4 linked regions of the Caenorhabditis elegans genome follow. The protein of the gene in region 2 interacts with the protein of the main gene of each other region in a pairwise test. Each region holds a gene or a part of one and is shown on either strand. Other genes may lie near its edges.

Region 1 (5,618 bases), on a different chromosome or scaffold from region 2:
ACAACTTGATGCTCTTTATAACGGACTTAACGGAAATGGAATCACCATCAGATCTGTCTGGATTCAGGTTAGCTATATACAAGAAATATAAAAAACCTTGAACAATTAAAAGTTAAATTAGTTAAAATGTCATATGTGAAAAACTGGAAACAATGTACACTTAAACATTAAAATCTTCTTTCCGGAGATTATTTTTCAATTTTCAACTGATAAGAAATTTAATTCTCGACGATTATAGTCTATACACTTGAACTCTTTCAGGTTACCTCCCCAGCCAACTGGCAGAAGTCTGCAACTACTAATGTGAACTTCCTCAACAGCATTATTTCACGAGCCAAGCAATACGGACTGACTGTCGGAATCTACACCAACCAATACGACTGGAGCCAAATTACTGGAAACTGGGCAACTTTGAGCTCTGATGTTCTTCTCTGGTATTGGCATGTTCTTGGAGGTGGTGTTACTGGAGAGACTCCAGCTACTTTCGATGACTTCCGTGCATTCGGATCTTTCAAGAAGGCTTCTGTTAAGCAATTTGCTCAAGTTGAGTCTGTCTGCTCTTTGACCGTCAATCGTGATGTTTACGTTGTTGGAATCCCAGCTGCTGCTTCATCGAAAAACACTGATTTTTTCACTCAAGAGGACATCAGCAGCAACAACAAAAAGATTGTTGTTGGAGGAGTCATTGGAGTCTAAAATATTTATGTTGTGATCTCTTACCTATTTGTATTATTTCAATAAACAATCCTAGCTTTATTAAAATTTTATTTTAAAAAATACTGAAATATACCATATAACATACCAGATATATACCAGAAATTAAAATGAATGATCAGTAAAATTTTAATTGTGTCTTTTCGCATGACGATTTCACTTTATTTCTGAAGATTTTTGTGGAAATCGTTTCTATAAATATAATTTTGAAAAGTAAACATTTAAAAAGTTAAAATAGCCGTGGCATAAATGCTAATTGGCAGTGATTTCCTGTCCCTCACTAGGGAACGGTCAGAAGGTGCCCATCGGACTTGCATATGAGACCTATGCCATTCGATAGCCCATGTCTTAAAACAGTTACTCGTGAATTTTTAGCGGCAAAACTCCCGAACCAAGCTCACGGCGGGCTCTCAAAGATCTTAAAATAGCACTGTAAGGAAGAACTTTAACGATCTAACGAAGCAATTTTCCAATTTCACTTTGGTAGCTCATATCTCCGTAGATAAATTTTTTACAGAAAAGTCATCAACTGATAAGTTGTTGATTTTGTTGTAACAAACAAGTTTGTAATTAAAAGTTTTTTACCACAAAATTTTTGTTTGAGATAAAAGTGCGTGAAGTGCGGCAACTGGTGTTGTTATTTTTATGCTGCTATTCCGTTTCTAATGATTTTCTCGCAAACAAAAATTTTTTGGTAAAAAACTTTCAACTACAAACTTGTTCTTTACAACAATATCAACAACTTTTTAGTTGATGACTTTTCTGTAAAAAATTTATCTACGGAGATATGAGCTACCAAAGTGAAATTCGAAAATTGCTTCGTTAGATCGTTAAAGTTCTTCCTTACAGTGCTATTTTAAGATCTTTGAGAGCCCGCCGTGAGCTTGGTTCTGGAGTTTTGCCGCTAAAAATTCACGAGCAACCGTTTTAAGACATGCACTATCGAATGGCATTGGTCTCATATGCAAGTCCGATGGGCAGCTTCTGACGGTTCCCTAGTCAGCCGTGACTCCAGTTTATCTGAGAGGGTATAGGATAGAATATATTCAATATTACCCGCGTGGAAGGCTTGTTGAACTCAACGTAATTTGAAAAAAAGAAATCATTTGTTCAAAATAATTAAATCTGAAAATTAACATACGAAGATGTTTTTGCACTTTTTAAGTTGCATTGACACCTAACGATAATATGCATTTAATCGCTTTTTACGCATTAATATCAATGTGTTTAACTTTCGTGACTTTTAGACTTTTTCTCTCCTTCAAGAAAATTCTTCTGCCGGCAAAATGATAACAGATGATAACAATTTTATTTGGGAAGAGATCATAAAACCGATAATAAGTTTAATAAATTAGTTTCCGACAAATCCTCCGACAACAATCTTTTCACCATCTGCCATATTGACTTCAGTCTTTGGAGCAGCAGCTGGAATTCCAACAGCATACACGTCACGATTCACAACCAAATTACAAACTGTTTCAACTTGAGCATACTGCTTCACTGAAGCCTTCTTGAATGGGCCGAAAGCACGGAAATCAGCAAAAGTTGGCTTTGTCTCTCCAGAAGTACCACCTCCAAGAACATTCCAATACCAGAGCATGACATTAGAATTGATATTCGCCGAATTTCCAGTAATCTGGCTCCAGTCATATTGGTTTGTGTAAATTCCAACAGAGAGACCATATTGTTGAGCACGGGAAATTATGCTGTTGATAAAGTTGACGTTGGCAGTTGGATTGTTTGGCCAGTTGGCAGGGGAAGTAACCTGGAAAATTTGTAGTTTAGGGAAATAATTATTTAAATATTATGTTCGATTTTCTGAAAGATAAGAAATACACAAACTCGTGAATGCTTGTGAATTGAGAGGAAGTAATGATAAAATACTTTTGAGAAAATTCATAAATAGAGGAGCAACTCTCTATGAAACTGAAACTATAGTAGTACCAGCCTCAAAATGAACTTGAGGGAAATTCTAAATTTAAACTGTGTCTGAACTACTAACCTGAATCCAGACTGATCGGATAGTGATTCCATTATTGTTGAGTCCGTTATAAAGAAGATCAAGTTGTTGGTATCCTTGCCAGCTTGATATTGGCTGAGGAGTCATGTATGTCTCAATTCCCAATCCAGCTGAATAAGCATTTCTGATATTTCCAACACAATTTGAATCAAAAGCTCCATTTCCAGTTGGAACAAATCCACGGAGGAATACAACTTGATATTTTGCTTTCTTCAAACAATTCATTACTTGGACATTTGTTGGAAAGGAAAAATCGACAGCATTTCCCATTGAAGCGTCATTGTTAACAATTACTGGAGCTTCATTTGCTTCGGTATTTGCAATCGCAGCTTGGTTCGAGTCGATTTCTTGTGGTCTCGCAGAAGAGAGAACAAATAGGATAGTAAAAGAAACTAGAAGCTTGATCATTTTACTGATCTATTTCAGTGAAGATAAAAATTGTGGTTTTCCTATCAGTTTATATACAAGACGATGAGCTCTTTTCAGTGCACAAAATGACGAATCTCTCTGAAATAAGATGGGTTTCTTAGTCAGTTGAAAATGTCAACAGTGGTTTGGCTTCATTTTCTGAATTAATGAATGATAATTGATAAGAAGGCAAGAATACCAGTGCAGACTCTCTGTTGTCAATTAAAGTGATGTGATGAAAAAGAGGCCAAAGATAGAGAAAGAAACTTTCTACATGTTCCTTTACACAACATCGTCAGTGAGGATATTTCTCGAAGTTTTAGAACAAAGAGAACAACAGAGAGATGCTTTTTGAAATTCGGGTTTAAAAATGAGAAATTGTAAATAAATTTCAATGGATCCCCAAATTATACGAAATCTAGTGATCCCACCTCAAATGTTGTATTCAGAAAATTTGAAAGTGATTTCAAAAAATTAGTTTCCAGCCGCTGCAACATGGATAAGTTGGACAAATTTCAAATGTTAACTATTTGTAGGTAATTTTTGTTTTCAATATAAAGTTGCATTATGAAATTCGGTGTTTTCAGACAATTTCGAGTCTAATAAAGCAATAAAAATTTCGGCGACACCATTATTAATAACAAGTGTATTTTTGTGTGTTGATAATTTTATCGTTAAAAAGGTTATCGACAATCACATCGGAAATATTTATTTTGTATTATGCTTTCTGGTATCAAAGATTTAGTCGACAATTCTCATTCCTTGGATTCTCAAAATCCGATTCCACCAACACGAATCAATTTCTTCTCCGAACTCGAATTTTCTTGATGAGTTGAGAAGTGTACAATTTGAGACAAGTGTTGGTTTCCGGTGGAATACACATTTCGGTTTACAATCATTCCACAAAGTTTTTCAACTTGTCCAAATTGTTTCACAGTGGCCTGTCTCCATGGTCCAAATGGACGGAAATCTTCAAGAGTTGGAGTAGTTTCACCATCAGTACCCATACTCAGAACATGCCAGTACCACAAGAAAACATCAGAACTAAACGTGTTCCAGCCTCCTGTGATTTCCAACCAATCATAAAATGAAGTGTAGATTCCAACTGACAAGCCCAGATTCTGAAAGTAATAAAGTGAATAAGAAGTTGTTCTTTGTGATCATGATCCATGCTTCGAAAATTAAAACTTCTAAACAGTGTGAGTCAGAAAATGTACATTCCGCTTCAGCAAACAATATTCGTGTATGTGATCAACTTAAATATAATCGTCCTATAAACGTCTCAGGCGTGCCCCACGTTCAGAGGCGAATTTCGCGGAAATTGTTTTACTGTTGTTTTCCATGCATCAGGAGCTTCAGTTTGTCTCGCTAATGTTTGGTAACATACCTTCGCACTTCTAATCATATCTTGGATAAACTCAATTCTCACAGCCATTGGTGCAACCCAATTTGTTGGAGAAGTTACTTGAATCCAGATAGATCTAACATTAATTCCATTAGCAAGCAAATTCTGGTAGACCAGACTAATTTGGTCTGCTCCAGACCTTGTTGAGTTGATGTTTGGAGTGATGTAAACTTCACTTCCAAGTCCAGCTGAAAAAAAAACAAAATGATAATAATAGGATTATTTTGTTTATTTAGTCAATCTTACCTTCAAATGCATTGTTGATTGTATTCAAGGCATTTCGATCAAAATAAGTATTTCCAATTGGATTCAAAGCTCTGACAAATACAGATTTATAACCTTGATCTCTCAAACAATCCATGTCACTCGGAGTTGTGTGAAATGAAATGTCAACTGAATATGCATGAGTTGGGGAGTTTCGTTCATCATATGGAATTGCTGGAGCATCTTTCACTTCAGGAATATTATAATCTGGGTCAATCACTTGTTCAGAAACTTTCTGCAGCAATCCAAATGGTTCTGATACATTCGTTTGAAGAGGAGCTGGGAAAGAGTAGCACAATGTAATAGAGACTAGAAGAGCGAAAAGTTTCATTTTCCGAAATGATAATATTGAACTCAAGAAAGCATTTATACTCGTTTTGATGTCGCTGGTTGAGTAATCAAGTAATAAAGTTGTATTTTTAGTTGAATGTGGGCAGACTCAGAAAACAAGCATTGATAACAATGGGGTTGAGTCACTCAAAAAATACAGAACGTGAAATCGAAAAAGGAGCTTGTGAATGAAAATAGATGAAACAATACTCTATTAAAAAATTAGGATTTTTTCGAAGTTTGGGTAAGTATTTTAAATAGTTGCTTTGTAGTTTTCTTAGGATCCAAAAAAATTCCCTGCATTTTATTGACGAAGTTACTTACTTAGTTTTTATTACCTCTCCTCTCGGATTTGGTTGTCAGTTCAAACAGAAGATTCTCCAACAACGGTTTCAGTGATAGAATCCCAACAGTAGCAAAAACGTTCAGCCGAGAGGATTGGGTTTCTTTCGAAGATGTACAAATGGCTGAATATGT
Region 2 (8,074 bases):
CTTCCTAAGCCTAAGCCTAAGCTTCTTCCTAAGCCTAAGCCTAAGCCTTAGAGACAGTGAGCAAAACGTGTTGTAAATTTTTTTACCATCGATTTTTGCCGGGAAATTCAAATTTTAAACAGTTTCGGGCCCTAATAGCCTAAAATCTATAAATTAAGAATTTAAAGACTTACAAATCCAAAGTATCCATACATTTTAGGGCTATTCGGCGGGATTTCGGAGGAAGTGATAATATTGGAAAAGGTAGAGCAGGCATTGGCGGGAGGAAATATTGGAGATATGGTGACCCCTTTGCAGGCCAATTTGGTTGTCAGGGAGTGTTCTTGTCTTCTCTGCGTAGTCTCTAATAAGACGGACAGGTGGGGGGGAAATATCGATTCTCTAAAGAAAAAAAAATTATGGTGCATCGACCCCCCAGTCCTTTGGCAGCCTTACCTCCGGAAAACTCTAAATTTAAAATTTTTTTTCAGGCCAAATTAGTTTTAAAAAGACACGAAATCATCTGAAGAAACTAAAATTTAAAAAAAAAATAGAATTTTTTTTTTCTAAACATTTTCCAAAAAAATGCCCGAATGGCGCAGTGGGATTTCCGCCGGCTACCAATCACGAGACCGGGGTTCGAGTCCGCGCTGTGACAACTATTTTTTATTTTGCATGTTTTGTGAGTTTTAGGTAATTTTGAGCAATTTAAAACGGAAAAATCTAGAAATTTAGAAGGAAAAGTTTTTAAAAAGTCGAATTTATCAATTTTCTAGTTTTTTTTGCTTCTAAAAATTTCCAAACCGATATATTTATTTTTTCTGTGGCTAAACAACACCCCTAGAGGCCTAACATAACAAAATTTTCTGAGCAATTTTAAAAAAATTGTCCGAATGGCGCAGTGGGATTTCCGCCGGCTACCAATCAAGAGACCGGGGTTCGAGTCCGCGGCGTGGCGAATATTTTCAATTTTTTGCCAATTTGATGTGATTTTTAGCAATTTAAAACCTCAAAACCTAGAAATTTAGAACAAAAAGTTTTTGAAAGTTGGGTTTTGAGTCGAAATTATCAATTTTCTAGTTATTTTCTTCTAAAAACGATTTTTCCTATAGTTTAAGATAATAACAATCATCTAGAGGCTTATAAATCAGAAAAATCGAGTTTTAAGCTTTTCGAAAAAAAAAGTGTCCGAATGGCGCAGTGGGATTTTCGCCGGCTACCAATCACAAGACCGGGGTTCGAGTCCGCAATGTGGCAAAAATTTTTATTTTCTATTTGTAGTGGTTTTGAGATGAAATTTGTTATTTTAAAGCTCGAAATTTAAAAAATAAAATATTTTTTTATCCCAAAATTTCAATTTTCTAATTTTTTTAGGCGCCAATTTTTTTTTCCAAAAAATGAGCGATTTTCTATAGTTTTAAAAGAAAAAAAAAAGTGGATTTATTTACAATCAGTATCGAAAATCGAAGATCAATAAAAACAACGAGTTTTCAAAAAAAAGGGAGCTTAGATGAAAAAAAAAGATTAAAACCCGGTGACAACTGGGAGGTAATTCCTGGGTAAAAATAGTGAAAACCGGTCGAAAAACAAGTGAAAATGGGTAAAAAATGATGATTTAAGGCTTATTTAAGGCTTATTTCAGGCAAAAAACGTGGCATTGATAGCCCAATGATCAGATGGGAAGCACAAACAGGAACGGATGCGTTGGCGGCCTTCAAGTGTGAATTTGACTTTGTCCAGTGGTCCAGACCAGTATAGGCGGTCGAATCTGAAAATTTGAAGCTTTTTAGATTTTTTAAAAAATTGAAAAAAATCGATTTTTGTTTATTTTTTAAAAAATGATCGAATGGCTCAGTGCGCTTTTCGCCGTCTACCAATCACACGACCGGGGTTCGAGCCCCCGGTGTGGCAAAATATTTTTTATTTCTTTTTTATTTGTCTCTTCGCTTTTACCTCATCTTAGCGCCATGGAATCCCTGTTTATTGTCATTTTTGAAGGTGTCCCACGTGAATTTTGTCTTATTATCACTGCCGGCAGCCTCCCAGGCATCCTTAACACCGTCAGGCACACGGCTGACCTCCTCGTCTCGTAAGTTCAAATCGCCGCCGAAAAAGACGAGGGCGCCCGGGTTTTGAGCGATGATTTCACGGACTTTGTCCATGCAGAAGCCGAATTGAGCACAACGTTGCGGGCGGTGCTCACGTGTTGATTCGAGATGGGTGTTAAGTAGGAATACCTGCAAAAAACGAGAAAATTGGTTGAGGCTCAGGCTACAAACTACAAAAATTTGTTAAATTTGCCGAAAAGCGAATGATTTTAATAGAAATGTTCAGTTTTCTTTCAAAAAAATCAATTAAAACGAGGAAATTCTTCAGTTTTTTTTCGGGAAAGTGGTTGTGGCTCAGGTTACAAACTACAAACTCGGCTTAGCCTCACCAAACATTTCCGAAGCGAAATCTGATGAAAATACTCGAAATTTCCCTCATTTTTCTTCAAAAAAAGCTCCAAATTTTCAAAATTCTAGGGATTTCCCTCAAAAATCAGAAGAAAAACTGAAAGAATCAGGGTTTTAACCAGAATTCCGAAAAAAAAATTGGTTGAGGCTCAGGCTACAAACTACAAAATCGGCTTAGCCTCACCAAACATTTCCGGAGCGAAATCTGGTGAAAATACTCGAAATTTCCCACATTTTTTCTCAAAAAAGCTCAAATTTCCATAACATTTCATGTATTTCCGACAAAAATCATTGAAAAATTCAAAAAAATTACAAATAAAATTGATTGAAGCTCAGGCTACAAACTACACATTTGGTTAGCCTCACCAAAGTTTCAACGAATTTTTTTCGAACTCACACTACATACTGTGATTTTCAGCTAGAAATTGCAGAATTCTGATTGAAAAAAATCAATTATATCTCGAAAATCTTACAACAAAAAAGAGATTTTCAGGAAGACATAGGGATTTTCCGTAAAATTTGACCGAAAATTGATTTTAAAACCTGAAAATCTAGATTTTTTCAGTGGAAAATCCCATTTTCTGTAAAAATTTGAAGTTTTTTGCAAGAAAAACAAGAGGGAAAACATTTGAGGGGAAAAATTGGTTGAGGCCTACACTACAAACTACAAATGTGGTTAGCCTCAACCAATATACATTTTGCTCGATTTTAAGGTATTTTTTGCGGAAATTGATTGATTTTTACGGGAATTTTTATATTTTGTTTTGAAAAAATGGATTAAAATGCGAGAATTTTTCAAAAAATCTTTTTTTTCAGTAAAAAACTGAAAAATTCGATTATTGCGATAAAAATTGATTGAGGCTCAGGCTACAAATTACAAATTTGGGTAGCCTCAACCATCATTTTCACTCATTTTTAGCGGTTTTCCGGGATTTTTTCTTAAAATTTCGTCTATTTTCTGAAAAATTAACCTTCAAACCGCCAATAGATCCCTCCAAAATCTGCAAAGTTCTGTACATTCCAGAATTCTGAAAATGAATGACGTCATGCTTCTCGACGTCGAACATTTTCGACACAAGAATCGCCGTATAATATTGGCAGCCTTTGTTCGAATAATAGATTTTATACAGCGATTGAAGCTTATCAATCGGCGCCAAATCACGGTCGACGACTTCTTGGAGGAATAGGATGTCCGGATTGACGCTGAAATTTTTTTTTGGCGTTTCAGGTTGATTTTTGAAGATTTTTGACGGTTTTTAGTGATTTTTTTGCTGATTTTGCATCAAAATCAACTAAAAATTTGAAAATTCCGTGAAAAATCGCCGATTTTGCTCACTTTTTGACAATATGAGCCACTGCTTTCATTCTTGTGAGCAAGCTTCTCCCGTCGAGCCCATCAATGTTCCACGACATTACGCTGACTTCGAATCCCTGAAAAAATTTGAAATTTGTTGGAAAAATCGCGAAAAAAGTGAATTTTTTTTTGGTGAGGCTAAGCCGAGTTTGTAGTTTGTAGTCTTAGCCTCAACCAATTTTTTTTTCGGAATTCAGGTTAAAAGCGTGATTTTTTTCAGTTTTTCTAAAGATTTTCGAAGGAAATTCATGAAATTTTATGGAAATTTGAGCTTTTTTGAAGAAAAATGAGGGAAATTTCGAGTATTATGCTTCGGAAATGTTTGGTGAGGCTATACCGATTTTGTAGTTTGTAGTCTTAGCCTCAACCAATTTTTTTTCGGAATTCCGGTTGAAAGCGTGATTTTTTTTTAGTTTTTCTACTGATTTTTGAAGGAAATCTATGAAAATTTATGGAAATTTTAGTTTTTTTGATAAAAAATGAGGAAAATTTCAAGTATTTTCGCCAGATTTCGCTTTGGAAATTTTTGGTGAGGCTCGGCCGATTTTGTAGTTTGTAGCCTGAGCCTCAACCAATTTTTTTTTTCGGAATTCCGGTTGAAAAAGTGATTTTTTTCAAATTTTCAATGATTTCTGTGAAAAATCACTGAAATTTTACGGAAATTGCAGCATTTTTGAGGTTTTTTAACTCGAAAATCGATGTTTTTAGGTGGTTTGGCTTGATTTTGCTCCAAATATTCTTCTATTAACCTTCAAATCCTCTGCCGTCATCACCGCAGCTCCAGAGCTCGCCATAGACGATGAAGCGCCCATTACGGCCGCACTTCTGGCCTCTGCGAACGCCTCACTCCCGTAAAAAACGTCCAGAGCCTTCTTCAAATCCCAGTCTACATCCTGTAAAATCGACTGCGCAAAAGCCTCATCTGTGGCCGTGATTATTGCAAATTCATGCAGTTTTTGCTCGTCGCTCACTGAAAAATCGCGGATTTTCGCCTTAATTTATTGATTTTTCGGGTTTACTCGACGAATTTTTCAGTTTTCCTTGCTCCGGCTCATCTAGAATCTCGATTTCGACCTCGGAATCTTCTTGGGACACTGAAATATATTTTATTTGATTTAAAATTCAAATATTTTGAATTTCCAGCTGCAAAGCCTTACTTTTCTGTCGTTTAGCCTCAATTTCCTGTATTTCATCGTCAGAATTCGACATTTTTGAGCTGAAATTAGAGGATTTTATCATATTTTTTCAGAAAACGCGAAAAATCCACACGATAACTATTGAAATTCAAAAAATCGCGAAAAGAATAACTGAAAAGGCGGAGTCTAGCCGGGGGGCGTACCCTATTTGCAATCCTGGCACGCGTGTTGCAACTGCGGCGCACTTTTACCGAACGTGGAATTTTATATCGCGGATTTGGATCGTTTTTCTTCCCGTTATTTTCCCATTTTTCCTTGGTTTTCTTGCAGAAAATCCATAAAAATAGCAAGAAAAGTGAGTATTAGAGGTTAAAATCGATATTTTCACCATAAAAAAACCCCAGAAAACCGGCAAAAAACGATGAAAATCCGTGTGGAATTTTTTTAGACCTAGTTTCGCAATTTTTTCAATATTATCTTGAAGATTTTGATCTATTTTCGTGATCTTTACTTATTTTATGTGCCATATCCCGATTTTTATACCGAAAACCCGCGAAAATCTAGAGATTCCGATGGAATTGCTTTATTATATTACACGTGGAACTATTTTATTTCTTGATTTCTGCCGGTTTCTTGCTTTAAAATCTTAGAAAATAGCGTTTCAAGTGGGTTTTAGAGCCGAAAATTTAGATTTTCGATAGGAAAATCGCCTAAAAATCGATGAAACCATATTTTTGGCCTACTCCCGCTCTAATTTTGAAACTTTGATCTCGTTTAGGTCGAATTTCAACTAAAAAGTCGAATTTTCCTGTCAAAACACATGAAAATCCAAAATTTTCGTAAAAATATGAGCTCCGGATAAACTTGGGTGAGGCTGAGCCAATTTCGTAGTTTGTAGCCTGAGCCTCACCAAAATTCGGATTCTGTGTTTAATTCTTGATTTCTAGTTGATTTTCGCCGGTTTTTTTTTGCTTTTTTCTTTCTTTTTCTCCCGCAAAACCCAATTTTCCCTTTAAAAAACCCCCGTTTTTTCCAGATGGTGCATTCAAACGGAGCCATCACGAGCACAATTCTGAAGGCTCGTCACGCCGACGTCGTCCGCAAGACGTCACTTCACCACGCCAACGACTTGACACTCATCGATCTCGTGCTCAATGTGCAGCGGCTTTTGGCTCTCCCATCCGACGCGAATTTCGTGTTGAAGTACAAGGATGAAGGTAGGAATTGCACTGAAAATTGCGATTTTAATTCAATTTTTGTCAATTTTAGAAGGCGATTTGGTGACACTCGCCGAGGATAGCGACCTCCTGCTGGCTCTTCACACGTCTGGAGCCACGCTCGACGTGACCGTCGTTGTCGACTCGAGAGCTCGTGAGGCTGTGCACGATGTGCAGAAGCAAGTCGAGCAGATTAAGGTAAGGAGGATTTTGAGCGAAAAAAAACGATTTTTGAGCTGAAAAGCGCAATTTTGAGCGGGAAAATGCAAAATGTTGCAGAATTTTCATCGAAAATGCTGCATTTTTGAGCTTTTTAGACAAAAAAAAATCCGGAAAAACACTGAAAAATGTTGGTTGAGGCTAAGAAACAAGTGTAGTTTGTAGTGTGAGCCTCAACCAAACTAGCCAAAGCTTGAGTGAGGCTATGGTGATTTTGTAGTTTGTAGCTTTAGCCTCAACCAAATTAGCTAAAGCTTGAGTGAGGCTATGGTGATTTTGTAGTTTGTAGCTTTAGCCTCAACCAAATTAGCTAAAGCTTGAGTGAGGCTATGGTGATTTTGTAGTTTGTAGCTTTAGCCTCAACCAAATTAGCTAAAGCTTGAGTGAGGCTATGCAGCTTTTTTTTGTTTATAGTGTGAGCCTCAACCAATTTTGTTTTTAAAATTCACAAAATCTTTGGTTTTTCACTGAAAAATTGGAGAAATTTCAGCGTTTTCATTGATTTTTAAACAAAATTATCCAAATAATCGGTTTTTTTTTTCAATATTTTTAACACAAAATGGCTAAAAATTGGAATTTCTAGTACTACAGCTAGCGAAAAACGAATTTTAATTCAATTTTTCTTTCAGCTTGATGTTGGAAAGCTTCTTGGCGCTCTCAGTGCTCTCGACGTTGCCCAGATCGCCGAACAATCGAACACATCGGTGGCGAATCTCTCGGCTCCAAAACAATCTCACCACGACAATATTGTGTTCCAAAAGAGCTTCGAAGCGGCTCCACCATCGCCAGTGCCTTCCGAGAAGGCCGAGCTCCCGGCGACGATCCAACCGTCGGTTCACGAGCAATTCAATCATCGCCCGGCGCACGTTGAGGAGGAGATTCCGTTGGAGAATCACTATGCTCCACCACCACATCAGCAAATTCCCGATGATCTGAACACTAGCTTCAGCTCCCAGCCACCGCCACCAATTGAGCAATTCGGAGCGATTCCGCCACCGAACGCGACGATCCCGTCGTTCCCAACGTCGAATGCGGCGAGCCCACCAGTTCAGGAGTTTGCTCCACCGCCTCCACAGCAGCAGCAGCAACAATTCCAGGCTCCACCACCACCGATGGCGTCGCACTCTTCGATCTCGTCGACTCCAGTGCAGCAGCAAGGATTTGCTCCACCGCAGCAGTTTGGCGGGCCACCACCGTCTGGACCACCATCAGAGTATGGAGGATATGCTCCACCACAGCAGCAGCAGCAGCAATTCGGAGCCCCACCACCGCAGGGAGCTCCCCAGCAAGGATTTGGAGCACCGCCACAAGGGCCACCACAGGGAGGACCACCACAAGGATCCTTCGGAGCTCCACCACCCCAGCAATTCCATGCTCCATCACCACAATCGTTCGGAGGGCCACCGCCGCCAGTATCAAGTGCTCCAGGAAACTTTGCCCCTCCACCACAATCGGGACCACCGGGCGCTTTTGCTCCACCACCATCCGCCTTCGGAGCACCACAGGGGCCGGGAGGCCCAGGAGGCTACGGTCCACCACCGCCAGGAGGCCCAGGAGCCCCAGGATCGTACGGACCACCACAAGGAGGCCCAGGAGGATTCGGACCACCACCTCCAGGAGGCCCAGGAGCCTACGGACCACCGCCAACCGGATTCCCACCAGTCGGAGCACCGCCACCGGGAGCCGCCGGAGCCCCGGGAGGAAATCCATTCG
Region 3 (6,756 bases), on a different chromosome or scaffold from region 2:
AAATTTCGGAATTTTCGAGATTTTTCACTACGAAATTCGGATTCCCCGCATTTTTTTACACTTTCTTGTAAATTTTCAGAGTTCTAGCTCAAAATTGCGTAAGATTCGGTGTATTGGGTTACTGTAGTCGGTGATTGCGTACTTTTGGGGCTACTGTAACCCGGAAATTTTGAAAAATGAGCTAGAACCACAGACAACCGATTTCAGAGCTAAAAATAGATAGGAAAATCGAATTCGGTGATGAAAATCAAGAATTTCGAATAAAACAGCGGAAAACTCGTGTTTTAACACATTTCTCGGCGATTTCACTACGAAATTCGGATTTCCAGCTATTTTTTACTTCTAGCAGTGAATATTCAGAGCTCTAGCTCAAAATTGCGTAAGATTGGGTGTTTCTGGGTTACGGTAGTCGGTGTTTGCGTACTTCTGGGGCTACAGTAACTCGGAAGTTCTGAAAAATGAACTAGAATCCCGCAGAAAAAGTGTTAGAGGTGAAAATTTGCAGGAAAATCGAATTCGGTGATGAAAATCAAAGAATATCGAATTTGAACACTGAAAAATTGAATTTCTAGATATTCTGCTGAAATTGCAAATTTTTCATTAAGAAATTCGGATTTCCCGCATTATTTTACAACTAGCGATTTTCAGCAGAAATCTCTAATTTTTTTTGTAAAAATCCGAGCTTTTGGCTTAAAATCCAGTTTTGTAAACTATTTTGGCAAAAAAAAGGTGGTTTTTTGGGTGAAAAATTCGATTTTGAGTCATTTTCATAAGAAAACTTCACATTTTCCGAAAATATCAATTTTTGGCTAAAAAATCCGAATTTTGAATAATATTTGCATGACAAATGCTATTTTTGGGCAAAAAATTCAATCAATTTTCGGTATATTTTTTTAATGAAACATGTCATTTTTTTCGGTTAAAAATATGACTTTAGGTAATTTTTGTAATGAAATTTCCAATTTTTTCGGTTAAAAATCCTTTTTTTTGTCATTTTAGCCTGAAAAATGCTATTTTTTAAGTAAAAACCCCCGATTTTAGGTCAATTTTGGTGTGAAATTTTCAAATTTTTCGGTTATTTTTCGGAATCCCCGCATTTTTTTTCCACTACAACGTAAATTTTCAGAGCTGTAGCTCAAAATTGCGTGAAATCTGGTGTTTTGGGTTACTGTAGTCGGTGTTTGCGTACTTTCGGGGCTACCGTAACCCGGAAATTCTGAAACATGAGCTAGAAGCACAGAAAACCGATTTTAGAAGTGAAAATTTGCGGCAAAATCGAATTCGGTGATGAAAATCAAAGAATATCGACTCTAAAAGCATGAAAAATGTAATTTTTCGGGTAAAAATTCGATTTAGGTCATTTTTTGATGAAAAATTCAATTTTTCCGGTCAAAAACTATTTCTTCACATAAAAATCCCGATTATTGTTTATTTAGAAGTAAAAAAATGTCATTTTTGGGTGAAAAATTCAATTTTCGGTATATTTTTTTTCTTCATTCTTTTTGAAATTTTAGAATGAAAAAAAAAACCATTTTTGGGTGAAAAATCCTTTTTTGTAATTTCAGTATGAAAAATGTCATTTTTTTCGGTAAAAAATATGACTTTAGGTAATTTTTGTAATGAAATTTCCTTTTTTTTTTCGGTTAAAAATCCATTTTTTTGCCATTAGCCTGAAAAATGCTATTTTTTAGGTAAAAACCCCGATTTTAGGTCAATTTTTGTGTGAAATTTTCAAATTTTTCGGTTAAAAACTGCATTTCCACCGCACCTTTTTGCAAATTCTATTCTCCATATTCGAATAATACCAATTCAACACATAATGTGCAGTTTCGGCAGTTCTTCTCGACGTTTTCACATGATTTCCCTCTATTTCCACAAAAATTTTCTTCTTCGAGCTCGTCGATTTGCCACGATTCCACAAATAACTATCAATATAATAATCGGTATTTTTTAGTCCGTGACGGGGTTCAACAAGGAAATTCTGAGGCCCTTTACGTGTTTCATCGATTGTCAACGGGAATTCTTTCTGAACTTCATGTTCTTCGTAGCAACGGAAATAAAGGAAATGGGCAGCTTTGTTGGGAATTGAGAGATCCGAAGATTTGAGATTGAGAGTTTCTCCGGTGAATGAGGTGGCTGCGGCGACACGCTGCAAAACTTTTTTGAGACGGTTTTTGCTGGTTTTTTAGAGGATTTCTGTGCAAAAATTGGGGTTTTTTTTCTGTGATTTTAGACGCTTTCTGAAGGCTTTTCGCAGGTATTTGAAAGTGAGTTTTCGGAATTTTAGGGCATTATTTTGGCTCTTTTTAAGCAGCTTTTTACAGTGAATTTTCTGTGAAATTTCGGCTATTTCTGGTCGATTTTTGATCGTTTTCAGAGCATTTGAAACTTTACTTTGCCATTTTTAGTGGATTCTCGTTTTAGGTGTGGTTTTTGCTCATTTTCACAGGATTTTTCAAGTAAAAATCCTCATTTTTCAGGGTTTTTTTCGGTGAAAAAATGCCATTTTCCGCGATAAATCACCTGCATTGTGGTGACGAGGTGTTCGTCTTCATTTTGATACGGTACCTTTCTAGTCGGAGTCGGACGCCCTTGATATTTCATTGATGATATTGTAACCTCATTTGCAACCGAAAAATCACTGTTTAAGACCATTTGAGCGTCGATTTTCTCGCGTTTCAAAGCCATTTCCATTTCAATTTCCATTGTTTGAGTGTCCATGTGATCGTCGAGCACTGACGCGTCTGGAAATTGAGAATTTTTGAGATTTTAGGGGTTTTTCAATTAAAATTTGGCCTTTTTCGGGAAGTTTTAGCTTCAAAAATGACATTTTTTGGGAATTTTCTAAATGAAATTTTAATTTTTTGGGGAATTTTTAGGTTGAAAATTGGATTTTTTGGGTTTTTTCGAAGTGAAATTCGAATTTTTAGAGTTTTTAGCTTGAAAATTAAAATTTTCGGGATTTTTTGAGTGAAAATCTGATTTTTTAAGAGATTTTAGCTTGAAAATTAACATTTTCAGGTAAAAATCCGGGGTTTAAAGAATTTTTTGGCGAAAAATTGGTTTCTTAAATGAAAATCGAGTTTTAAGACAAATTTCATAGAAAACTGTAACATTTTCCGGTAGTAGCTTCTGATTTTCAGCCGAAAACTGAATTTTAAAGTAAAAACCTGAGTTCTAGGCAGTTTCTCCTTGAAAACGCGAGCATTTAGGTTAAATTTTAGAATTTTGAAGTGAAAAAATTACATTTTTTAGGTAAAAAATGAACGTTTTAATGGGAAATTGCAAATTTAGAGTCGACAATCGACTTTTCAGCACTTTTCCAATGAAAAAACACATTTTTTGATTAAAAACTGATTTTTTTAAAGCAAAATCGTAAATTTTGGTATTTTCCCCCTAAAAATCGCCAATTTTGCCTGATCATTGAGGATTTTCGCCAATTTTTCCGCGTAAAAATCGCATTTTCATGTAGAAAATCCAATTTTTACCGATTTCAGTGTTGGAAACATCGATTTCCTCCTCTAAAATCGGGCTTTGGTGGTGTTTCTGGTGAACTTGGAGCTCGTGCTCGCCTGGGGTCATATCTCGCTCCTGGTCGACTGAAAGTGGCTCTGGTGTCGTGGATTCTGGGACTTTTCTGAAAAAAAACGAGCAAATTTAGAGATTTTTAGGAGAATTGGAATAGAAACCCGAGATTTTTAAAGGTTTTTTCACTATTTATAGGTCTAAAGTGCTGAAAATTTTGATTTTTCTTTTATATTTTTGGATTTTTCTCGTCTACTCACGCCATTTGTGCAGAAATTGTAGATTTCGGTGTGAGTTGAGCTGTAGGAATAACTTTTTCGAAGACTTCATCTTGTTTGGCGGCGAGCAGCTTTGCGGACGGTGTACGAACTTTTCTCGTCTCCATTTCTGAAAAAAAATCGTTTGAAAATATGGTTTTTTCGCTGAAAAATAAAGAAAAAAGACTAAATTTGCCCAAAATTTGAGAAAAAATTTCGAAAAATAAATTACAGTACGCTTTAAAGGGACAGCAGTGAATTTCACCTTCGTGGCGAGACCCGTTGTGGCAAAAACAGCATGCGCCTTTAAAGTTTACGGTGCTTAATTGAAATTTTGAATTTGTTTTCGAAAACATTCAAATTTCGATCGAATTTTTCGGTTTTTTCGATTCAAAATCAATTTTCGCTTGATTTTCCTGAGAAAACTACGCATTTCCGACAAAATTCAAATAAAAAGAGCCGCGGGGGCCGTGAGAAAAAATGTGGCCGAAGAATACAAAAATTCGACGGGAATGGGACGACGGACGGGGCCGAATCAATTGTGTTTTCTCAGCCACAGATGTTCACGGTGAGTGAGGAGACGCAGTGAAGCGCGCGCGCACGCGACGCGCAACCGCGTCTCGAGTGTGCAAGGTGGGATTGGAGCGCGTTTGTGTGGATAGGGCTGTGTCGATTTACGGAGCGTCGTGGATTTTTTTTAAAGGGGATTTCCGGTTTTTGAGGAGGATTTTTGTGATTTTTTCCTAGTTATTGGTTAATTTCCAGCAAAAAATGAATTTTTTTACGTTAGATTGTAACGGAGAATTTTATAATTCTGCAAATTATAAATATTTATTATTGGTTTAAATTAATTTTTTATCCGAAAAAAAAAACCAAGAAAAAATGTTGAAAAATAAATTTTAATGAGTTTTTTGTATTTCGTTTCAAGACCTGCTGAAAAGTTAATCTTCATGTACCTTTAAACTTACAGTAAAATAGTTTTTACGGTTTTGAAGCCATTTATTAACAATTTTTCGTACGGAAATTCATTAAAAGTTTATATACTAATAATGAAACCCATTGTCATATTTTTTGGCAAACGTAACTCGCAAGTTTCAGTTAAGTTTCAAACTTTGTCAAAAATCAGCAAATAAATGTATTTCGTTGCGAGACCCAACACAGAATTTGCCTCTATGCACCTTTAAAAATTACAGTACGAAATTAATTAATTTCTTTCTCAATTTCAAGCCAAAATAACTCATTTTCCCTCATTTTTTTTTGCAGAAAAACGATGGAATACTGCAGTACAAAGCAAATTTCCACGTTTGTCCTCGCCCTAATCGGTTTTTCGATTCTCGTATTCTTCATCGAAGAGTACACGGAGGAAAGTGAGATGAACAGCGAAATGGAGATGAAAAAAGCGTTTTATAGTAAGATTTCCACCTAAAAACTTGGAAAAAAAGTTGAATTTTCAGAGACGGAACACGGCGGAACCACCGGAAAACTGGAAAAAGTGGTGACGGAATATCCAGCGGAAGAATGTTGGAAGCATGAGCCATTTGAAGTGGTCACCCAGTGTGCACCGTGCAAGGATTTCGAGATTAAGGCTATTAAAGCTGGTAGGGAGATAAAGAATTAGGAAAAATTCAGAAAAATCGCAATTTTTACCTTAAAAACCCGCAAAAAACGACTTTTTCACCAGAAAATCAAAAATTTATCCTATTTTTCCAGGTCATTGCCTAAAAACCGGCTATTTCGATCGTGTAAACTGCTCCAAATCGTCGACAACTGTGCTCCGCCCGTGTCCATCTCCAAAACAATCCCGCCGCCACGAGTTTTACCTGTTCTACGTGGTAAATGCCGCAATTCTCATCGTGAGCTTCTTGTCGACGACACAGCGGAAGGCTCAACTCGAACGGGCGGTCTACATGCGACTACCTCAACATTTCTAAATTTTTATCGATTTTTTTTGTAGATATATATATATATATATATATATTGATTGATTGATTTTTGTTGCGATTTTAAACGGGTTTTTATGTGAAAAAAACATGGGAAATGTGTAATAAACGGTGCGAATTTATTGAAAAAAAATTTTTTACGAAAAAAAAAAATTCATCGATTTTCTTGAATGCTTCTTTCACGTTCGGGGTAATGTACTGTAGTATTACTGTAGTTTAGAAAAAATTGGGTTTTTGTCTTTTTAAGAGATATTTGTTTAGGGTTAGTGGAGAGATATGGTCGGGATACTGTAGTAATACGGTAGGGGGTACTGTAGGATTTTCGGGAAAATTGAGTTTTTGTCTTTTGAAGAAGTATTGATCCAGAAACTTCTAGAATTTCCTAGAAAAACCTGGAAACTTCTACAACTTTCTAGAATAGGCTGAAAACTTCTCGACTTTCTTGAAAGTCAGCAAAACTCCAGGAAAATGTGTAACACGGGTTTCTGGCTTCCCTCATAAATTGAAATGGAAGAGTTTGCCGAACTAGGCCATTTTGGCTTGGCCATATCTGGGGTAGATTCACGGCGCGTCGCGTCTCGATTTTAAATGAAAAACTAAATGCAGGCGAGGCAATCGACTTCTGGAGCTGAAAACCTCTTTTTCTGAAACTACCGTAATCTTACAGTACTCCTACCGTGCCACTATTATACCACTACAGTAGCCCCAACTATGTATATCCCTACACTAACCCCAACTCACTATCCTTCCAGAAGCCAAAACTTCACAGACTACATAGTGTAAGGATTCCCACCCTTTTCACTTCACATTTTACATAAATAAATACTAATTTATTTGCCTGTAAATTCTCTCTGATAATTTACAGAAAGAACGGACGAAATCGGTCAAGGACAACGATTTCTACAGCGAGGACAATTCGTGTGGAGGAGAAACTCCAGTTCAAACCGCCGCCAAGATGTCGTTGGTCGCATTGTCGCGTCGAGACCCGTCGTCGTTAAAGGCTGCGCCTTTAACCCGGAAATGCCTATATAAGG
Region 4 (9,791 bases), about 12 Mb from region 2:
CCTGTCTCATGGGAAGAAGGCCTTTCTTGTGGGAAGAACGGAGTTATAAAAAAATATACGCAGGTACAGAATTTGAACTTTTCCTCCCATGAGATAGGAATTTGAATATTGGCATTCTATAACTTCACTAAGAAAAAAAATCTCCAAAGGTTGATCGCAAATATGTAGAGATTGCTCGCATCCCTTCAAATATTACAAAATTTCCAAGTTTCTCAGTAATCTATAGTTTTCATTTAGATTACTGAAAAATATACACAGATTACTTTTGAGTCTGAGAAGTTATTGTAAAACGCAAAGCGAGCTCAAATGTATTTTGATAAAAGTGGCTATTTAGGCTTAAGCCGCGCCATACCGCCGGTGTGTCATAAGGATTTCCAATATTTTATTCCAGTTGGGCATCCTAGTTTTTTTTCCGGGCCCTTAGGCTTAAGTGTGTCATAAGGATTTCCTATATTTTATTCCAGTTGGGCATCCCAAGTCTAAATAGCTCTTTTTCTTTTCTTTTGCGCTCCAAGCGCAAGGAAAAACCTTCTTGTAACTTTTTAAGAGGGTTTCATATATTTTATTAAAATCGGGGCGAAGCCCTGATTTTAAATCCATATTGTTTTTTTTTGTCTTCCTCTATCCCTGCAAATAGGAAAGATAATGTGTTCTTTCTGATGAAGTAAAAATCATCATAAAATCTTGAAAACTGAGAGCAGGAGGTAATATTTGAATATATTGGGTCGTAAATGTGTGTCTCTCTGTGGGTGGGGTGGCGATGTGTTGGCAGCCCTTCAACGAACTGTATCTCCCGCCTGTATCTCCCTTCAAAGAGAGAATTGGGTTACAAAAATTTGAGGGGATATGAAAAAAGGTGTGAGAATTTCAAAAATATTATTGTTGAAACACCAGACCAAACCACTTTTTCTGGGCAAGAGGCAAAAAATTAATTTTTTGAAAAAATTTCAAACTGGCACAAAATTTTTTCAAAAATAAATTTTTCACAAATTGTTAGTAGATTTCATTTTTCATAAATATTGTTCATTGAACACAAAAAAGAAAACAAAGATTCATCAAAAAATGAGTGAAAAATCGCAAAAATTCGAAAAAATCAGTGCTGAAAAACTCGATTTTTTGGCGGTGCTGAAAAAAATTTTCACTAAAATTTTTTTGAAACTTAGTTTTTCGGATTTAGCGTCAAATTTTGAATCTATATAAAAAAACAAAATTGAAATTGATCTCAGATTGAGTGAATAATAAACGCTCAAAGTTGAAAAATGAACAACGCAAAAACGGCAGTAACTTGCTTCAAGGTCGGTTATCTCAGTGAGTTTTCACTCAATTTTCGAAATTTGTTTGCTCTATCGCTTTAGAAATATTTGTAATTTCATTTGTTTTCCTCAAAATCAAAATATCTCAAACGACCGCCATCCTACGAGAAGGGAAAAAAAAAGTTTTTGGAAAAAAAATCAAAAATTTTTTTTCTGCCTCGATTTTCAAAATGAAAAAATCACTTTTTCGGAATAATTTTTACTTTAAAATGTACCTACGATCTTTTTATACAACAATTTCACCTTGGAACCAAAGATTTTTGGAGGATACTCGAAAATACTCTTCATATCTCGGCTCAAAGAGCTCCAATCTTTCTGAAATAAAGCATACAGAGGTGGGGCAAGCTTCTTGAAGAGAGAGCAAAAAACCGCATCAAAATCCATCCACCCACCGTCAAGTTACACGCGCGTTTTCAGAGTGAACGAAAAACAGGGCATAAAAAAATTTAGACGCCCGCACCCGGACTCGAACTTTTTTCAGATTTACAAGCTTAATATCTCGGCTCCTGTAAATCGAAATTGGCTCAAAATTCTCAAGAAACCTTATCCTGCGTCCTTCCTGCTGTCATTAAATTTTCGTGAGCTTAGGGAGAAAACTGACAAAACGCCAAACTTTCAAATTTAAAAAAATAGTTGAGGGTCATTTTGTAAACACCTTAAGCTCCATAACTCGGCGAGTTTTGATGGAATCAATTTGAAATTTTACACGGAAGCTTCTTAGTGGCTTATACGTCTCTGTGTTAAATTTCGCTTTGATCGGCCAACGGGAACCCTTTGAAAAATGAAAAAAACGCTGTAATCCTAACCCTAAATGGCGAGCTAACGCTCGCCACTGACGCCAAGCCTAGGCCTAATCTCAATTTTAACTGTAAAAATAACAAAATTCCCTATTTTTCTGTCAAAATCGAATTTATCTAGGCTCGCAAATTTTTGATCTACCATCTCAGATGTTGATCTACTATCTACTTTTCGGCGCCAAATTTCCAATTTTGGGTGCAGAGACTCTGTTTCTTTGAGTTTTCCGTTCGATTTCCGCTCATTCCGTCTCCTATTCCTGTTCTCTGTGGACAAAAATGTACAGTTTCAAAAGCAGCACCGACGTGAAGACTTATATCAGCACCCCGTCGTGCCGGATATGTCTTGAGCCATTTGGTTAGTGAGTTTTTGTTGGCTTAACGGCTTTTTTCGTCAGTGTTTGGCTATTTTCTTGCAAATTTTTAGGTGTTTTATCGATTTTCACATTTTTAAATACTTAAAAAGCTTGATATTTGAGCGAAAAATCAAGAAAATTAAATTGCGAAATTTTTTAAATTTTTTAAATACCAACGACACTCCGATCTTACACCCGTGCGCGTTGTTTAGCGTAAATTTACAAAGCGAATTTTCAGTTGGTTTTCTCGAATTTTAATTGAAAATCTTGAAAATTAGTGAATTTTTCAGCGTTTTTATGGATTTTTCCCTTAGAATACAGGTTTCTTAACCGAAAACACAATTTTCCTCCAATTTTTTCATAAACATCTTTGAAAAAATCAATATTCCAGACGAAGGACAACATCTTCCGAAAATCCTGCAATGTGCCCACACGGTCTGCGAGAGATGCATCGGTTTGCTCGACGAGCAGAGCCGAATCAACCACAATCGGCCGCCGATCGACCGCTCGTTTGTGCACATTAGATGTCCAGTTTGCAGGGTATGTGTTATCAATTAATTAAAGGTGGACTCCGCTCAGTGCGGAAATTGCTTTAAAACACGCCTATGGGGTCACAATGACCGAATATCTTGATTTAAAAAATTCAAAAAAATTTTCTAGATTTTATATGATCTTTTGAAAATTGAAAAAATCTCAGTTTTTGCCTAATTCCTATTTGAATTTCCGCCAATTGGATTTTTTCGGTGGGGCGCACTTGCACGTTTAAAAATTTTTTTTTTTATTTATTCTTATTTTTCACCGATTTTTAATGTTTTCGGTGTATTTTTGCTTGAATTTTAGAGAAAAAGCCAAAATAAATGCAGATTTTCGATTAAAAAACACGATTACAGGCGTAAAAATGAGAAAGTAACGCTTTTAAACGATTTCGAACCTGAATTAATTAATTTCACTGATTTACGCCTGTCAGTGTGCTTTTTAATCGAAAATTTGCATTTATTTTGACTTTTTCTCTAAAATTCGAGCAAAAATACACCGAAAACATTAAAAATCGGTGGAAAATAAGAATAAATAAAATAATTAAATTTTAAAACGTGCAAGTGCCCCAACGAACAAATCCAATTGGCGGAAATTCAAATAGGAATTATGCAAAAACTGAGATTTTTTCAATTTTCAAAAAATCATATAAAATCAGGAAAATTTATTTGAATTTTTTAATCATGATATTCGGTCATTATGACCCCATAGACGTGTTTTAAAGCAATTTCTCCACTGGCGCTACTCCACCTTGAAGATTAAAATAAAATTTTTAATGAATTTTGCTGAATTTCAGGCAGTCACCCAGACTCCACGCAACTACATTCGATCCAACTACCAGCTAATCGAATTGATGGATTCGATGCGTGGAGAAGCCGATCATAATATTTCATTCCTCGCGTGTGTCGGCTGTAATGGCGTTTATCACGAGAAAGAGTGCGTTGGAAACTCACGGCCTCACGGCTCACGCGGCACCTCACGAACTCCAGAATTTGCGGGAATTTGTTTAGCGCGGGACAGCAGTTTTTTGTTATTTTTGGCTTCTACGGAAATTATTTTTGATTTTTTGATCTATAATATTCTTGAGAAGCATCCTTCGAATTGAAAATGTGAAAAATTATGAAATTTGAGCGAAAACTGAAGGTTTTACAGTAAGGAGTTCTATACTTTTCTTTAAAAATGCATCAATACCGCCAGTTTTTTGATTTCAGAGTCGTAAAGTATGCCATTTTGTAGAGAAAAGTCTGTTTCACAAAAATCCATGTTTGAAAATTGAAAATTGTTTTTATTAAAACCTGAAAAATCAAAAAAAAAAAAAAGATTTTAATGTAAAATTGTTGATTTTTTGAATATTTTTATATTATAAATTGAATAATCAGAATTTCAAACATGGATTTTTGTGAAACAGACTTTTCTCTACAAAATGACATACTTTACTTACTTACTTAGGATACTTAGTCGATCCGTTCTTCGCCTGCGGCGCGGATCACAGCTTTCCAAGCTTTTCGGTCCTTTGCTTGGGTGGACCATAGTTGTTTGACTTGCCCGAAGGCGTCTCGCGTAGTGACTTCTTTTCTTAAAGAGTCATTCCATCTCATCGGTGGGCGTCCAACGGGTCGTTTCTCGTCTCGGGGGCACCAATCGTTCATCAGAGTTGTCCATCGGCCATCCGTTCGTCTCGCCACGTGTCCAGCCCATCCAAGTTTCCTCTTTTTTATGTGTATTAGTGGATCTCTGAGTTTTGACTTTTCTCGAACTTCTTCGCGATGAATGTTTCGTTCGCGTTGTTCTGTCAAGGTGAGTCCAACTAACTTTCGTTCGAGGGCTGCATGGGTTACTCTGACTCTTTCCACTAGCTCTTTTGTGAAAGTCCAAGCTTCAGAGCCGTAGGTCAGGGCTGGGAGAACCGTAGAGTCGAAGAGATTTGCACGGAGGCGTGGGCAGGTGATCTGGTCCGTGGTGCTTTTGATGTTGGTAAAAGCTGCCCACGCAGCTCTTCGTCTTCTGTGAAGCTCAAGCTTTTTTGATTTTTTGATCTATAATATTCTTGAGAAGCATCCTCCGAATTGAAAATGTGTAAAATTATGAAATTTGAGCGAAAACTGAAGGTTTTACAGTAAGGAGTTCTACACTTTTCTTTAAAAATGTATCAGTACCGTCAGTTTTTCGATTTCAGAGTCGTATGTCATTTTGTAGAGAAAAGTCTGTTTCACAAAAATCCATGTTTGAAATTTTGAAATTGTTTTTATTAAAACCTGGAAAATCGAAAAAAAGAAAAAAGATTTTAATGTAAAATTGTTGATTTTTTGAATATTTTTATATTATAAATTGAATAATCAGAATTTCAAACATGGATTTTTGTGAAACAGACTTTTCTCTACAAAATGACATACTTTACGACTCTGAAATCAAAAAACTGGCGGTATTGATGCATTTTTAAAGAAAAGTGTAGAACTCCTTTCTGTAAAACCTCCAGTTTTCGGTCAAATTTCATAATTTTATACATTTTCAATTCGGATAATGCTTCTCAAGAATATTATAAATCAAAAAATCAAAAAAAATTTTCATAGAAGCCAAAAATAGCAAAAAAACTGCTGTCCCCGCGCGAAACGAATTCCCGCAAATTCTGGAGTTCGTGAGGTGCCGCGCGCGAGCCGTGAAACTGTGAAAATTCAGATTTTAATTAATTTCCCCAATTTTCAGCACCAATATTTGCACTACATGCTCCCCAATCATCAAGGATGCTCATCCCACTGAACTCATCGAGCAAGGAGTAATTCTGAATCAGTACGCGTTGTGTTCGACGTGTCTCCTCAGAGATCACATCAAAAAGAACCACGTGTCGATCAGTCTGCAGCCTCTTCGCGTCGAAATGCAACGCCAGGAGAATCAGCGGCGGATAGTCGGCTTGCAGGACAATTTGCACAAAGTGCAACGCGATTTTCGTGAGCAGCTTAACGCGACTATGGAGCGATGGGCCGGATGGAATGGGAGCCACGATTTGTCGATGGATAAATTCCGTGAGCTTGGTGATACGTACAATCAGAAGAAGGTTTATGATGCGTTCGTGCATCAGCTGAGAGGCAAGACCGCTAAGATTGAGAAGCTCGCCGAGCACGTTTTGCGATGGAATGATGAGCTGGACAGGGAGATGGTGCGTTGAAGATCGGGGCCGCTTTTTCAATTTTTTTGAAAATACAAAAACTAAACTTTTTATTCCGAAAATTTAAATTCTGAAATTTCGAAAACCTTTAAAGGTGGTGTAGTCGAATTTTTTTATTATTTTTTTAAAATTTTATTAGACTCAAAATTGTCTGAAAACACCGAATTTTATAATGAAACTTCTTGAAAACTCCAACTTCTCAAAAAAAAACTTCTGACGGCTCGAAAAATGTCCTAAAATTAGTTAAAATTTGAAATTTGACCGACTTGCAAAAATTTTTAATCAATTTTAATATGTAAAGCCTAAGTGATTTTTTGCCAGAAAAAAAAATCTGGAATTTACAGTTTTTGAAATAAAAATTTTCAACAAAAACTAATAATTTGTCGGAGAAACATTTGAATATCAGTTTTTTTTTGTCAACTCTAATTTTTATAATTAGTTTTAAAATTTAAAATTGAGAAAATTATTCGCATTTTTTGCTCAAATTTTGTATTTTTAAAATAGTTTTTTTTCTTTCAAATTCTACTCCAAATATACTCAACATTTTGGTAATTTTTTAAGAAATTTTATGGAATTTTTCGAAATAAAAACAATTATTAAAAATTTCAACTAAAATCTAATTTTCAGTACGAATTTTAGAAAAAAAATTGAAACTTATAAAAAAAATTTTCTAAAAACTAAAAATTTCGCCTTTTGGTTTTTTTTTCAAAAATATTTGGAAAAATTAACAAAGTTTTATTAAAAGTGGTGTAGTCGAATTTACTAAATTACTTAATTAGATTCGAAATTGTCTGAAAACACTGAATTTTATAATGAAACTTCTTGAAAACTTCTCAAAAAAAAGTTATGACGGCTCAAAAAATGGCCTAAAATTAGTTAAAATTTGAAATTTGACCGACTTGTCAAGCGGTTGGAAACTAACTTTTTTTTTGAAATTACCGTCAAATTTTGAGTATAAAATATAATTATCTTGCATTTTCAACTAGATTTAGGTATTTTAAAGTCGATGGACGGCGAGATTTTTATATTTTTAAACCAAAAACGGCGAGATTCGAGTTGAAAACGCAAGATAATTAAATTGTATACTCAAAATTTGACGGTGACTTCAAAAAAAAAAAATAGTTTCCAGCCGCTTGACAAGTCGGTCAAATTTCAAATTTTAACTAATTTTAGGCCATTTTTTGAGCCGTCATAACTTTTTTTTGAGAAGTTTTCAAAAAGTTTCATTATGAAATTCGGTAGTTTTCAGACAATTTTGAGTCTAATGAAGCAATCCGAAATATTCTTTAAATCATTCTTTTTGGGATATTAAGAAAACTTCATCCTTTTCCCCTAATAAAATAAAAATTTTCCAGGAAAGACCACCAGCTCATCGTTTGCCACGTAGCTCAACTCCAGCGCCAGCACCACCATTCGACAACTCCGTCGCCTACTATTTTGAGCACCAATTTTGAGCTTTTATATTTTTTTTTCTCATCCCACCACCACATTAAAACAGAGTTTTTATATATACAGTACCCATTATTCGAACACAATTTGTTCTAAAAGAGCCCCCAAGAATCAGATTTAATAAAGAATGCTCTCACCAATTACATTTTATTGCAAAGAAAAGTATGAACATTTACAGGAAATGCGAAAGAAAATGCGGAAGTGAAATTGAGATCGTCTAAGACTCATAAAAATAAAGTCGACGAAAAAGGCCTTGTAGGCAGGTAGATAGGCATTTTCGTGCCTACGAAGAAGGGGGAGGATCAGAAAATCTATGTTTAACTTTTCAAATACTATTGAAAAGTGCCATAAGTGCCATAATTATTAAAAATCCAAATTTTTGAAAATACTCCAGAAAATTTTGAACATGGTGCAACGTGACCAAAATAACAAAGTGTGCAATAAATATGGCCCGTTTTTGCCACTTTTTAATAGTTTTTGATGGGTTAAACCTAGATTTTCTGAATTCAGCATATATGAATTACCCGTTTTCAACAAATTTAGCCGATGTTTTATTTTTGCCCAAATCGTTTTTTCAGCCATCTAATGACTGTCCTTTTTTTGGGCAAAAAAAGATTATTCTGAAATTGAACGAAACTATTAAATTCTAATAAAGGACATTTTTTTTAGGGTTCGGAGATAAATTTAGAGTCCTCTAGCTACAAAATTAACCATTTTAGAGGAGTTTCAAGATTGTAATTTTTACCAAAAATTGCCCAATTTTTGCCACTTTTTTATAGTTTTTGATGGATTAAACTTAGATTTTCTGAATTCAGCATATATGAATTAACCGTTTTCAACAAATTTCGGCAGTTTTTATTTTTGCCCAATTTTTCAGCCATCGTTTGAAATTACTGGAAATTGAAAAAGAGCAATTTTTAGAGTTTGGAGATCAATTTAGAGTCCTCTAGCTACAAAATAATCATTTTAGAAGAGTCCGTTGTAAAAAAAAGTCTAATTTTTTTTAATTCAGAAAAATTAAAACATTTTAATTTGTTAGGGCATGGGTTAATTAGTACACCAATAATTAGCAATATTATCCGATTTACAAGGGTTGTAGAAATTTGGGCTATTTTCGTGTGTAATTTTGGGCCCATGATCCGAGGGTACATCGAAATAGGGTACATCGAGCCATTTTTTTGTTCTTGGGGTACATTCGAGCAAAGGGTACAATCATTCTCAGGGTACATCCACCGGTTTGTTCAGAGGGTACATTCATGGGATTTTCATAGGGTACATCGGCACTATGTTCCAAGGGTACATCCAATTTTCAAGGGGTACAACGGATTTTTATAACTGAAATTTCTTAGAGTTGTGATTATCACAATTTTTTCGTTTTTAACTACCATATTGAAAAATTCGAATTAAGCCATAGTTTTGTTTCTTGATTTCGATTTTATGAATTATTAATCAAAAATCAAAGAGAAATTGGGTCGATTATCTATAGAGTAAAATTTTTTAACTTAAAAAAAAAACATTTTTTTGGAAATTTTTTTTCTCTCTCTATTTTACAAAATCATTTATTTGGTGTTTCCACAACTTTGGACGTTCATATTGCTGTTTCCGCGCAGTTATGTGTTTTGCAATGTCTCTGGAACATTCCTTCCTTGTTACCTTCCTTGAACATTCCTTGTTACATAAAAATTATATCGAATTTTAATTAATGCCCCCGTTAGAAGAAAGAAGGAACATTTTAAACATGGTGCATTGCAGGGGTGGGCGGCAAACGATTTTTTCCGTCAAATCGGCAAATCGGCAATTTGCCGATTTGCCGAAAATTTTTAGCAAATTGTGGTTTCGCACTTATTTTTTTGGAAATTTCAGAATTTCAATTTTAAATGGCAAAATTAAACTAATCCTATGAATGTTCCTACATCTATTTTGAAAAGTAAGCAAATTCTATGAAAATATCTAAAGTAAACGGGAAAAAATTCAAAAATGGAGAGTTTTAAGTGTTTCCGTCTGATAAAAAAACCCTCTAAACATTTTCGGCAAATCTGATATCCGTCAAATCGGCAAACCGGCAAATTGCCGGAATTAAAATTTTCCAGCAAATTGGCAAACCGGCGATTTGCGATTTGCCGAATTTGTCGACAAATCAATTTGCCGAACGGGAATTGCCACCCCTGGTGCATGGTGACCA

What was found.
Region 1: the proteins of tdpt-1 (region 2) and lys-2 interact in a two-hybrid assay, tested with the Caenorhabditis elegans proteins (one large-scale study listed by BioGRID).
Region 3: the proteins of tdpt-1 (region 2) and Y77E11A.7 interact in a two-hybrid assay, tested with the Caenorhabditis elegans proteins (one large-scale study listed by BioGRID).
Region 4: the proteins of tdpt-1 (region 2) and grif-1 interact in a two-hybrid assay, tested with the Caenorhabditis elegans proteins (one large-scale study listed by BioGRID).

Annotation. Positions count from the first base shown.
Region 1 is NC_003283.11:10,278,303-10,283,920, forward strand, and holds lys-2 (Lysozyme-like protein 2), read right to left. Parts: upstream 3,173-5,618; 5' UTR 3,143-3,172; coding exon 2,717-3,142; intron 2,480-2,716; coding exon 2,066-2,479; 3' UTR 2,005-2,065; downstream 1-2,004. Other genes in the region: lys-1 (Lysozyme-like protein 1), read left to right, coding at 1-67, 262-696; lys-3 (Lysozyme-like protein 3), read right to left, coding at 3,913-4,263, 4,530-4,735, 4,794-5,142.
Region 2 is NC_003279.8:14,096,086-14,104,159, forward strand, and holds tdpt-1 (5'-tyrosyl-DNA phosphodiesterase), read right to left. Parts: upstream 5,006-8,074; 5' UTR 4,999-5,005; coding exon 4,947-4,998; intron 4,884-4,946; coding exon 4,809-4,883; intron 4,760-4,808; coding exon 4,539-4,759; intron 3,867-4,538; coding exon 3,772-3,866; intron 3,639-3,771; coding exon 3,407-3,638; intron 2,217-3,406; coding exon 1,933-2,216; intron 1,748-1,932; coding exon 1,618-1,747; 3' UTR 1,407-1,617; downstream 1-1,406. Other genes in the region: fbxb-100 (F-box associated domain-containing protein), read right to left, coding at 174-256; Protein tfg-1, read left to right, coding at 5,962-6,142, 6,195-6,340, 6,991-8,074.
Region 3 is NC_003282.8:1,415,936-1,422,691, forward strand, and holds the start of Y77E11A.7 (Dynein heavy chain 1, axonemal), read right to left. Parts: upstream 3,911-6,756; coding exon 3,786-3,910; intron 3,638-3,785; coding exon 3,489-3,637; intron 2,745-3,488; coding exon 2,524-2,744; intron 2,150-2,523; coding exon 1,769-2,149; intron 1-1,768. Other genes in the region: jtr-1 (Protein JTB), read left to right, coding at 5,053-5,191, 5,237-5,380, 5,493-5,713.
Region 4 is NC_003279.8:1,975,666-1,985,456, forward strand, and holds grif-1 (RING-type domain-containing protein), read left to right. Parts: upstream 1-2,364; 5' UTR 2,365-2,386; coding exon 2,387-2,465; intron 2,466-2,854; coding exon 2,855-3,003; intron 3,004-3,793; coding exon 3,794-3,933; intron 3,934-5,700; coding exon 5,701-6,151; intron 6,152-7,515; coding exon 7,516-7,614; 3' UTR 7,615-7,747; downstream 7,748-9,791.